Kluyveromyces lactis: one gene and its partners. The protein of the gene in region 3 interacts with the protein of the main gene of each other region in a pairwise test. Links are inferred from orthologs where the notes say so. Each region holds a gene or a part of one and is shown on either strand. Other genes may lie near its edges. The genes, in order: DCG1, YOP1, DST1 and ECM31.

The links.
Region 1: the proteins of DST1 (region 3) and DCG1 interact in a two-hybrid assay, tested with the Schizosaccharomyces pombe proteins (2 studies listed by BioGRID, with this or other methods). The link is inferred for Kluyveromyces lactis from reciprocal best matches to the Schizosaccharomyces pombe genes tfs1 and SPOM_SPAC1F7.10.
Region 2: the proteins of DST1 (region 3) and YOP1 interact in a two-hybrid assay, tested with the Schizosaccharomyces pombe proteins (2 studies listed by BioGRID, with this or other methods). The link is inferred for Kluyveromyces lactis from reciprocal best matches to the Schizosaccharomyces pombe genes tfs1 and yop1.
Region 4: the proteins of DST1 (region 3) and ECM31 interact in a two-hybrid assay, tested with the Schizosaccharomyces pombe proteins (2 studies listed by BioGRID, with this or other methods). The link is inferred for Kluyveromyces lactis from reciprocal best matches to the Schizosaccharomyces pombe genes tfs1 and ecm31.

What each region holds. Positions count from the first base shown.
Region 1 is NC_006038.1:937,812-940,412, forward strand, and holds DCG1 (Dcg1p), read right to left. Parts: upstream 1,407-2,601; coding exon 576-1,406; downstream 1-575. Other genes in the region: MRP2 (mitochondrial 37S ribosomal protein uS14m), read right to left, coding at 1-288; MET16 (phosphoadenylyl-sulfate reductase (thioredoxin)), read right to left, coding at 1,864-2,601.
Region 2 is NC_006041.1:596,432-599,115, forward strand, and holds YOP1 (Yop1p), read right to left. Parts: upstream 1,156-2,684; coding exon 1,105-1,155; intron 1,003-1,104; coding exon 511-1,002; downstream 1-510. Other genes in the region: APL4 (AP-1 complex subunit gamma), read left to right, coding at 1-332; alpha,alpha-trehalase ATH1, read right to left, coding at 1,781-2,684. UniProt on the Schizosaccharomyces pombe protein: Required to generate and maintain the structure of the tubular endoplasmic reticulum network and the vacuole. Induces high curvature in membranes and causes membrane tubule formation. Involved in membrane/vesicle trafficking.
Region 3 is NC_006042.1:863,900-866,763, forward strand, and holds DST1 (transcription elongation factor DST1), read right to left. Parts: upstream 1,405-2,864; coding exon 526-1,404; downstream 1-525. Other genes in the region: DPC13 (Dpc13p), read right to left, coding at 1-21; RNA15 (Rna15p), read left to right, coding at 1,811-2,587. UniProt on the Schizosaccharomyces pombe protein: Necessary for efficient RNA polymerase II transcription elongation past template-encoded arresting sites.
Region 4 is NC_006041.1:2,167,832-2,170,800, forward strand, and holds ECM31 (3-methyl-2-oxobutanoate hydroxymethyltransferase), read right to left. Parts: upstream 1,504-2,969; coding exon 547-1,503; downstream 1-546. Other genes in the region: FMP30 (N-acetylphosphatidylethanolamine-hydrolyzing phospholipase D), read left to right, coding at 1-507.

The DNA of each region.
Region 1 (2,601 bases), on a different chromosome or scaffold from region 3:
CGATCTACACAATCTGAAATCACTCAGAACAGATCTGGAGTGTCCCGTTTCAATACATCTGTTCTTGATTTGTGTCATTCTTGTATAGTTAGGCATCACAGAAAGTTGTAACTGAGCTTCCATTCTCGACCTTGGAGGTAGAGTAGTATTTCTAGCAATGAATTTCAATGCCTTTACAGTGACTTCATTGTCTGCAACTTGCTGTCTCTTGAAATTGTCTCTGATAACTCTAGCATTCAAATACGTTGAAGGAAGCTTTGTCTTGATTGGAAATCTGAAACCACCCATGTTGTTTATATCTACAGCCTTCCTTTGGATATACTAATTGCTAGGATAACTATCGAAATTAGTCTCACAGATACTGAATACGCCGAAAACCAAAGAATGCATCCACTAATGCTTGAACTTTATTCTTCATCTTCCGGAGAAGCTCCAAACTCGTTTTTTTCTCTTTCAAAGCTTGAAGTTCATATCATGTTAAACGTTCTTGATGGAGGTCACCTGACTATATTGGCACTATACACGTTATATAAGGAATGGAATGAACACAGCACCATGCCAATGGACTCCCAGTATCATGACTTCTTGATTTCAACTGTATCACCTCTTAGTTCTCTTGCCTTTCTAGCACTTGAATAAGCTCCTTGTTTGGATGTACCGTGTAATCCACTTCTGTAGACAGCCGAAACAATGTTGATCCCGCATACCACTCCGTCAATAATTGGCACTTCATAGCCATTCTGCTGTAAAGCGTTTGCAACAGCATTTTTCAAGTCGCTCATCCCTGCACAGCCCAAGATGATGGTGTCTGCGTGATATTCTTCTACTAAGGTCAAGGCAGTTTTAGACATTGTTTTATGAAGCTCAGCTTCTTCCACTTTGACCAAATCCGATACGGTTTTGATACCAGAACTTAACAATCCAACGCAAAATGTGGACATGCCAAGACCTGCTATGGTTTCCTCATCTCTTAACTGAGCCTTGTAAATTGATGCAAGAATACCGAATTTTGATCCAATGATCCTGGATGAGTACACGGCTGCTTCCACGATACCCATGCACACAACATCATCAAATTCTTCCCTGATAGATTTTATCAATGGATGGTCGCTAAAACATCCAACAAGTACACAATCGACTTGGTTTATTACATCGTAAGCATCTTCCATAACGGCAATTGCAGATTGAATACCATCGAGATGACCCTCAATCACATTGGGTGCCTTACCAAATGGTGCAGTGTACCCGTAAACCACAGTGTCTGGAGCTACATGACCAGCCAATATCTTTAAACAGGCATCGGTCATTGCTTGGGTTGAATTAGGGTTTACAAATAAGACCTTGATGAGCTCATCATCTGGTAAACTCTTCTTGTGCTTTACGAAAGGTAATTTAGACAACGACATCCTTGCTTGTTAGTGTCAGCTATGTTCTATGATTCAATATGTTAATCATCCTGGAATAATGAGCTACTTGACTCCTATCATACAGAGTTATATAAGTTTCTCTCTTTGGTTTATGTTGCTTTTCGTATCTGTCCGGACGCATGTTTTCAGAACCTTTGATTCATTTTTTCCCGGTTATCATAGTGTGAATCAGCCCAAAAACTTTAGGCTTTGACAGTCATGAGAATTGATGAGAGATTCAAGCTGGGGGTTTCTCTTCCAAGTTGCATGGGTAAGGTTCGCAACTGTTCATACACTTTCCACCTTAGTCGCAACATATATAATATGTACATTAAGTGACTAAAAATGTCACGTTGTGTATCTAAACTGAAACCATAAATAAAGCTAGATAAGAGATGCCGCATGCACAGTATACAACAGAAAAGATATATATATATATATATATATCAAACACATATCATTCTCTTTGTTTGAGATATTGTGCAAATCTGCTTGTCTCGTGAATCCCACATTCCGTCTTTGCCTTACCCTTCCACCTGCCTGATCTCTCATCCTCACCTTCTTGAACAGGTTGTGTAGAGTGATAATCACCAATCGACCGGTATCCTAGATCTAGCAATTCATTGTAAGGTACGTTATTATCACGGATATAACTTTGCACTTGGTTGAAGTCCCAGTTCGCTAGCGGGTTGATCTTGATGATATGATTGAATTCGTCCAATTCGATGAATTTCAGATTCGACCTTGCACCACCTTGACTCTTTCTTCTACCAGTGAATACAGCAGTCACTTGCAATTCCTTATAAGCTCTATGAGCAGGTTCCACCTTGACTAGGAAATCGTATTTATCATCGTCTGTATCCCATAAGAAATCACCGTATTTGGCAGCAAATTCTTGCTCCGAACCACAATCTTTCGGCTGATATACATTGACATTCTGTCCTCTTGGCTTGTAATACCGAGTTTCTACCACTTTCAAAAGCTCTAACGTCTGAGGGAAATGGTGCAATGTATCAATAAATATTAATGGAACGATTGGTTCTGTTTCATTTTGATTAATCTTAGAAAGCATATCGATAGTAGCCAACCCAGTTAAGCCAAACGCAGTGGTTTGAAATAAATGTGGGAAAGTAACGATAGCCCAACGTATAATTTCTTCAGGTGACAATTCACTTAACTTTTCATTCCAATGATC
Region 2 (2,684 bases), on a different chromosome or scaffold from region 3:
GCATAGAAATACCACCAAACTCTATCAATATCCACTCATCTGATATTGTTGAAGTTTATGGTAAAGTAGAATCGTCAATCCCCGGTTGTACTGAAATAGACCTATTCTTGAAAGCTAAAACGAATATTAATACCTTACAGATCCTAATCGCTGTTCCTAAATCACAGAAGGCAGAATTCGGATCTCTGTCAAGCCACAAGGTAGCTACAGGTGAAGTAGCTAAGCAGGGTCTTAAAATTCTAGGATCTGGGAAAATCAAGCTAAGGGTCAAATTGAATATCAACTCCACCGAGGATCAATTCGATTATAAATTTGAAAACATCCCCCATTAACGAGCGTTAAAGATGCCTTAAAGTAATATTGTGTAAACTATAAAACGATATAACAATCACATCATGTAGATAAGGGATCTATGTCGATAAACACCGGTACGAGTTCACATTTCCGCAATCAAATAAGCGAACTCAAAAGAAAATTGGACCAGAGGGTGATTTTTCAACTAAGAAGAATTTAACGGGAGTATCCAGAAGCCTTAGCGTTGTTGGCAGCAGCTTCGACTTTCTGGGCCAGTTCTCCCGATTTCCCTTCCACGATAGGTAGGTATTTGTCAGAGAATGGTGAAATCAACCTCGTGTAAACAAGTTGGGCACCGCCGAATGATGGAATGGCAATGTACAGTAAGAAAACAGTCTTAAAGAACCAGTAGAATGGAACCCAGTACAAAATAGCCTTGGACCAGAACTCGATCACAGACAAAAACGAAAAAACAATCCAATAAGTTAACAATTGTGTGTCATCCGTTGATGTGGCAGTCTTCAATGCTTTCAAAGAATAGTATGTTGGAATACAGAATCCAACAAAGTTGGATAAAATCTCACCAATTCCACCAACATTGATAAAAATTAAGAGAAAGTAAACAGCAACAAGACCAACGATAACATATGATCTTGGCAATTTTGTTTGAGCTTCAATACGAGACAAAATTTGATTACCAGCGAATTTCTAAGTTAGAATTGGTTAGTATATTAAGTTTTAAAGTAGTATTATTTTCTCTGTTAGTTACGAGAAGCATCCGAAAGATAATAAAAATCCTAGTAAACATACAGTGTCCAAACCCTTCAAGGAATCTTGAAATAATTTCAGATAGTCTGCCATTGTTGTTTGATTGTAGATTTGTTGGATTGATAGAGTGCAGACTTAAGGTAAATCAAAAAAATTTGAAGGAGGAGGAATTATCGCTCACTGGCAAGTTAGATGTATCCCTTTAAATTTCATTCTTTAGTTTATATTTTTTTTTCACTTTTCAGAATTCGTTGCGTTTTAAGAAACAGCCAGACCTAATGGAATGTTCTATCCGAGCCACAGAAAACGAAAAAAAAAAAGAGGAACACTAACTTTAGCAAGTGGAACCAATATGAGCAAATCACCACCGGTTTCAACAAGTCGCTGCTTTAGCTCAGTTGGGAGAGCGTATGACTGAAGTTCATAAGGTCCTGTGTTCGATCCACAGAAGCAGCATATTTTTTCTAATCCCGTACGCCTTCTTTTTTTTTGGTTTTTTTTTCGCCGCTGAAGTTTCGAACGTTCATATTGGAAGCTAATACTATTTAAAAGTGTCAGATTGAGTATATGAAGGAATACACTAAGGAATGCCAAAAAAAAAATGAAAACATTTCATTATGAATAAAAACTTTTAGGGACAGCATTTGAATTAGCTGACCGACTAATCAAATAACTATCAAACTAAAAATGTCCCGTATATGAGACTTATGTGCATGTCTTATGGGAATAATGCAAATTCTTTAATTGTCGCTCCCTTTTCATCATCGTCATCATCATAAGTGTCATGAACAGTTAGAACTATGAATCTTCCCTTTCTCCAATCAGTTTGATTGCCACGAAAATCAATATCAACATTTTCGGGATTCATTTCAGCCACTTTTGAATAATCAATATCGAAATCGGTCTCATTTCCAGGCAATAATACAATTTGGGACTCATTATATACTCGCCATGGGTATGGTTCTGATGGTGTTACCTTATAGTGATCCAAAATCTTTACAAATTTAGTTTTCATATCTTTAAGTTCAGGATGAGTACTGATTATACTATCTGGATCAATACCGTACCAGTCAAAAACATCTTCAATCGCTGCATCAAAACCTTTTTCTGTCCGTTCCAAATCGCGTACACATTCATCACCAGTCTTATTGCAATATTGATTGACGTTTGATAATATATGCGTCAAATTTTTGAATACCTCTTCTGTTTGTGGCAATATCGACAACGAAAAGGTCTTTGCAGGCCTCGAACCCCATATAATCTTGCCTGACTTGATCTCTTGCGTGAAATTATTCCCCATATCGATTAATAGCCTTGCTGGCAAGTTTTTATATGCGGGCTGCCAGTGTGTGAAATTATTACCGTCGATAACCGAAACAGCAACATCACCAGGAACGCCAGCTGTTAGGTTAGTTATTTGCTTTGCTTCCACGAGGTTTCCCTCAAGATTTTTTTTCGGAATATATAACGGAGTCTTGAAAACGTCCCCAGGTTGAATGGTAAAATAATTCTTGCCAGTAGGAACAGATCTCCTACCATGCAAAATTTGTTTGATGGGATCAGTTTCTTCTGAGTATTTTACGTCAACATCTGGAATTAAGGTTCTATCCGGAACCTTAATC
Region 3 (2,864 bases):
GAATACAGAACGCGATAACATGTTTTCTATATGAGGATTATTGAAGTTCCACAGCAACAGGACCGGTTAGGTCTCGGATATTCTATATTTTCTTAATTTAGTATGCAAGCGGAAAGATAATTGCGCTTTCACATTTTTTTGAAGTTGATAAAATTTCAGACCTTAACATGATGGACTGTTATCGAACAGGAGTCTGAAGGTAATAATTGAAGGTGAGCACCGACTATTTTCATTTGAGCTTGCAATATATAAACAAATCGAACTACAATGAATTCAACACCATCTGTAGAGTATTTACCATAGATACGATTCTTAATTGTGATATTACAACTTTGGTCATTTATACATGAAATACTAGTTAGCCGGAAGAATGTATGATGTAGAATTGGCGGATGCTATGTGTACACATCTAGCTAGCAATGAAATAACGAAAGAGTTTTAGTGCTTGATCACTGCCATCATCATGCTGCTTTAGTGTATCATATGCCAAGGCTATCTTCGTAAAATTCAAAGTGAGAATTTCAACTACGAGAACTTCCATCTATTACCGCAATTCTCACATGTACAAAAAGTAGTAAGAGGTTCATCCGCAGATCTTGTTTGTAGTTGGTAGTATGATACTTTTCTTTGTTTACATTTGCCACATTGGAATCTATCTGTTACTGATCTTTCTACAGTTGCACCTTGTGCATTAAACAAATTCTGTTTCTCAATTTCCTCAATTTTCTTCTTTAAATGTTCCGGTGCCAAGTCCTTAGGATCAGCAGTCACTAAATGTTTGGCTGATACTTCTCCATTCGTAATTCTATGTTTCAAATCTGGATTGTTCTTGGAGATTATATTTGAGTAAATTATTCTGTATTTGTCACGATATCCCTTTTCGTCAGACTCGGGATTGAACAGATTAGCCATTTCTGTCTCAATACTCATTACTGTATCTAGGATAGCTACTGGAGGATGTTCACTTTCTTTTGCCAATGCATCATATAATGCCCTAATAGCCATATCTCTAATCTTGACACCATATATATCCGTTTTCACACCGTCGTTCTTAGCATTTCTTGGAGCTTTGCTGACATATTTCTCCTTCTTTACTGCTTCTCCACCGCTTGTACCATTATTGTTACTTGTAGATGAGGAATTGCTGCTTAGTTTGCTTTTCTTTTCACGAGCCACAGCATCTTTCCAGGATAAAATCATCTTCTTCACCAATTTGACGATGTCTGGATTGGAAGATTTCTTAAATTGGTTGACTACGACCCCTACTTTCGTCTCTCTAAGAAGCTTCTCATTAACATCTTTCAAATCTTTATCTAATGACTGTAGAATCTTGAACACAACATCATTATTATTTTTGTTCTTCTCTAATCCTTTGACGGCTTCTAAAACGTCCTTGGTTTCCATATCCGCAGAAGATATCTCAGTTTCTATCTATATTCCAGGATCAATTTCTTTCGAAGATGAAGAATGAATGTTAATAATACACAGCAAATATTGCTCTCAACAGATTCTAATGAGTTAGGACCTGCTGAAATCCACCATTTGGACAATGGACAGTGTTGATTGTTTGAAGTCATTAATTAGTTTTCAATTCTAATTTCATTTCATTCGAACATTGAAAAAAAAATTAGAATTGAAGTTGATGACGAAAGTTGAAGAATCGAACAATAAAGCCATATCTGAGTTTTATTACACTTATAAAGTACCGCTAAGAGCATCGAAGGACTTGTAAGACAGACTTCCACCAGACAGCTAGCTGTGAAAATAACCTGGTGCAACCAATTTCAATCATAGAAATAGTTAAAAAGCAATGAACAGGGGAAATCCATCGCGCACAGTTTATTTAGGTTCGATACCGTATGACCAAACAGAACAACAAATATTAGACCTATGTCAGACGATAGGACCAGTAACGGCAATGAAGATGATGTTTGACCCAACGACGGGTAAATCTAAGGGTTATGCTTTTATTGAATTCAAAGATTTGGCAACTTCGGCAAGTGCAGTTAGAAACTTGAACGGGTATACATTGGGTTCAAGATCGTTAAAGTGCGGATACACCACCGGTAGTGGCATAAACGGCAGCGGATCTGGCCCCGGAGATGAAGAGGAGAATGGAAACATGGTTGAGGATGTGAAGTTCCCATGGCTCCCGGTAGGGGTGGACGTTAACATCAATATGACTACACCAGCAATGTGTATCAGTAGTGAATTGGGGAAGCTACAAAAGGACCAACAGATGGCTCTACTAAAAGTAATCCAACATTTCTGTAAAGACGACAAGGAAACTTTCGTAGCACTCCTAGAAGAGGCACCTCAATTGAGCTATGCTATTGCGGAACTCCTGTTGAGTAACGGTGTGTGCAGTGTGGACCAATTGACACAATTGGCTATGGCGAGTAAACAAAGGCCAGAGGAACAGACTGATAACACAGTGGAAGACGGATTAGACGAAGAGAAAGTGGATCTTCTAAGGCAAGTTCTACAGCTACAGGATTCAGATATAGCAATGCTTCCGCAAGACGAAAAGATGGCAGTTTGGGAACTCAAACAGAGGGCAATGAAAGGTGAATTCGGTCATCTTTAATAGATCGTCTCATGGATGGAAAATCAAAAATAATGAACATGCGTCAACTATAAAGTTCATTAATGCTTATAGATGAAACGGTGTAGAATGTACAAATTGAATACGCACTTTCGGATGAAGTAAAGTTCAGTCTCTAAAATATACCTTCAATGAGCCAGAATGCGCTTGACGGTAAGACAGAAGTAGCAGTATAATTTTATGGAAATAATGAAGAGAAGGGTTAATAACCAAGCTTACTCCACGTATGCAGTATCTATTCAAATTAATTAACTCTGTA
Region 4 (2,969 bases), on a different chromosome or scaffold from region 3:
TCATGGTGGGAAACTTGCCATGTGAAGATAAAAGGTGCGCAAGAAGATACCATTTACCAAATATCCTCCACGCCGGCAATGCATTGGTCAGGAAGATCTGTGTTAGATGCGAATAGGTCATTATGGTGTTCGTTCATAGTACATAAGGGTAACAAACCGGTGTTATTCCATGCGGGAGACACTGGTTTTGTGCATGATTTATACAAAAGAATCGTTAAAAAATATGGGAGCGGCGTACGGCTAGCTTTGCTCCCCTGTGGTCAATATTGCCCCGAATGGCATCAAAGGCCTCGACATATAAACCCAGCAGAAGTCATCAAGATCATGAATGATTTGGATGCGCAAACTGCTCTTGGTATCCACTGGGGAACATTTCTTCTGAGTGGGGAGTACTTTAGAGAACCTAAAGAGAAACTAGAGTTCTTATCTGAGTTTAACGAATTAAAAGATAGATGCTTTTGTCCCGAGTTGGGTGAGACTTTAGATTTCTCAAATAATGTAGAATAAATAATGAATAGGCACCGAAATATCTTTCAAAAAGACTGTTCACTCAGTATCTATCTTAGAAATAAAATCTTGGTACACTTCATCGTTTACTTTGAAAGTGTGGTGGCCTATATGTGGGAAAGATTTATCATGAACTTCTTGAACGTACTGAGACAAAGCAGAAACAGCGTCCTTCTTAAAATCTGCGAACATTTTAACAAATTTCGGTTTATGTCCGGGAAGCATCCCAAGAACGTCAGATTGCACCAACACCTGGCCACTAGTATCTGGGCCTGCACCGATACCAATGGTGGGAATGTGTAATTTGTCCGTGATGACAGAAGATATCTTATGCGGAATACATTCCAATACAATACCGAAACATCCGATCTGTTGCAAAGTTTGACTAACGTTGTACAACGCCACAGCATCAGTGCTCTGTTGACCACCCTGGGCCTTGTACCCGCCTAGTGAATGGACTCTTTGTGGAGTCAATCCTATATGCCCTATCACTGATATACCACGTCTAACCAACTCTTTGATATATTCTAGCGAGTAATCATCTTGAGACAATCCACACTCTACTTTCACGGCTTGCACTTTGGGATTCAAATGTAACAACTGGAACGCGTTACCGATCCCATCAGAAATTGATCTTTCAAAGGATCCGAAGGGCATATCGACAACGACAAATGCAGGACCTGGAGCGCGACAAACAGCACCAACATGATATTGAAATTCGTCAAGAGAAAGCTGAGTAGTTGATTCATACCCTAAAGAACACATAGCGACGGAGTCACCTACTAAAATCATATCTGAGTTGGCATTCTGTGCCCAGCTTGCTGTTATATAGTCATACGCAGTAACCATCGAAATGGGGTTTCTACGATGGTATTTTGCCATAATATCCTTAACGGTAAGCTGATGAACAGCTTTGGCGGTTGCTGCAACCGCCGAGCTGTTCTGCAGCGAGTACCATCTCCTGCCTATACACCGAATCATACCGTTGCTCCACATCTCGGCTCATCTCAACTCATCTCATCTTAGACACGTTCACCTATTTGACAAATTCTGAAATCTTCAATTTCACATACTTAAGACAAGGAAAAAATGCGTCAAAAGTTTTCTTTTTCTTTTTTTCACTTGCCTCCCATAGCACCTCAGCAAAAGAACATACTTCCGGTTATCAGTAGCGTCGGCTGAAAACTAAGGTTTGGTCAAGCGTCAACGAGCTTGTAAGTGCCCCCATAGTCTAGCAAGTCGGGATAAGCACGAGGTATTTTTTCCGGCTCATGTTGACGCCGGAATATATCCCACAGTAGAGTGGACTTTAACACTGTCTGTATTGTAATACTAGCTTTCCCTTCCTACGCTGGTAGGAGTACGAAACAGCCACTCTTTTCCGTTAAGCGAATACTTTATTCTCTTGGTTGCCAGGAACTGAATGTAGCCGGTTTCCTATTTGTTCCGATACCCACGCTTTATGCAAGTAAAGGCTACAAATGGAGGTGGGGCAGTACACAAACCCCCACCATACAAAGACTCCGAGCCCAGAAACCCCCACAGAATCAAGAGAATACAAACAACATATCGCACTATATTCGCCTATCCCAAGACCAACGGGTTTATCGTGATTTATATTGTAAAGCCAAAAAGGTTTAGATTTTGTTTTTTTTACCCAGATTTCGGATAAACCTGCATGATTTATAAGAGCCGTTTCTTGTTAACGCGCATAGAGTCCGCAAAAAAAGAAAGAGAACAAGAAAGGACCCGTAATAGGTCTTCTGGACAGTTGACTAAGCGTTTTCTTAACTATAACTTCGCACTTGGCTTCTCATAGAACTGGAAATTTGTAGCTTTACTTCTGTGTGTTTGTGTCTTTATTGTTTCTGGTTGCGATCCTCGAATTAACACGCACCTATCTAGTTTTTGATAAAAGCCCCAACTTATGTATACAGAGTTAATCTACGATGGAGCCCTCATTTTTCCTACTTCCGTTCCTTTACTGTGTATGCATTACAATTTATCCACCATTCTCGATAGTTTTAAACCCGTTCTTTGTGTTGTCTTTAGACATGTGGCATAAATGCCGTTTTTCGGACCTAGTTTGTACTGGCATTCCAGTATACCTTATATTGACTACCATTTAGATCTTTTTTTTTTTTCATGCCTTCTCTATCTCTCCGAGGTTCCTTTACAATGTAGTGTAGATTATGTCACTACACAAGTATTCGGAGGACCTTCTTTTTCTAAGATAGTTTATTGAGTTGACAGATTACACAATCCAACAAGAACAGATAATCCGTGAGAAAATAATAGCGTAGAAGAGACGGAATAGTATCTAAGTCCCTAGAAATCTCTTTCTTGTTACTACAAAGGAGGTTATTGTTACCTCGGCTGGAGATAAGTGTGTACGGCACCTTACAGAGCTCTGTACGTATGAGTAAGGGATTCGAGAAAGATAGATCAATTTTGTAGTTGAT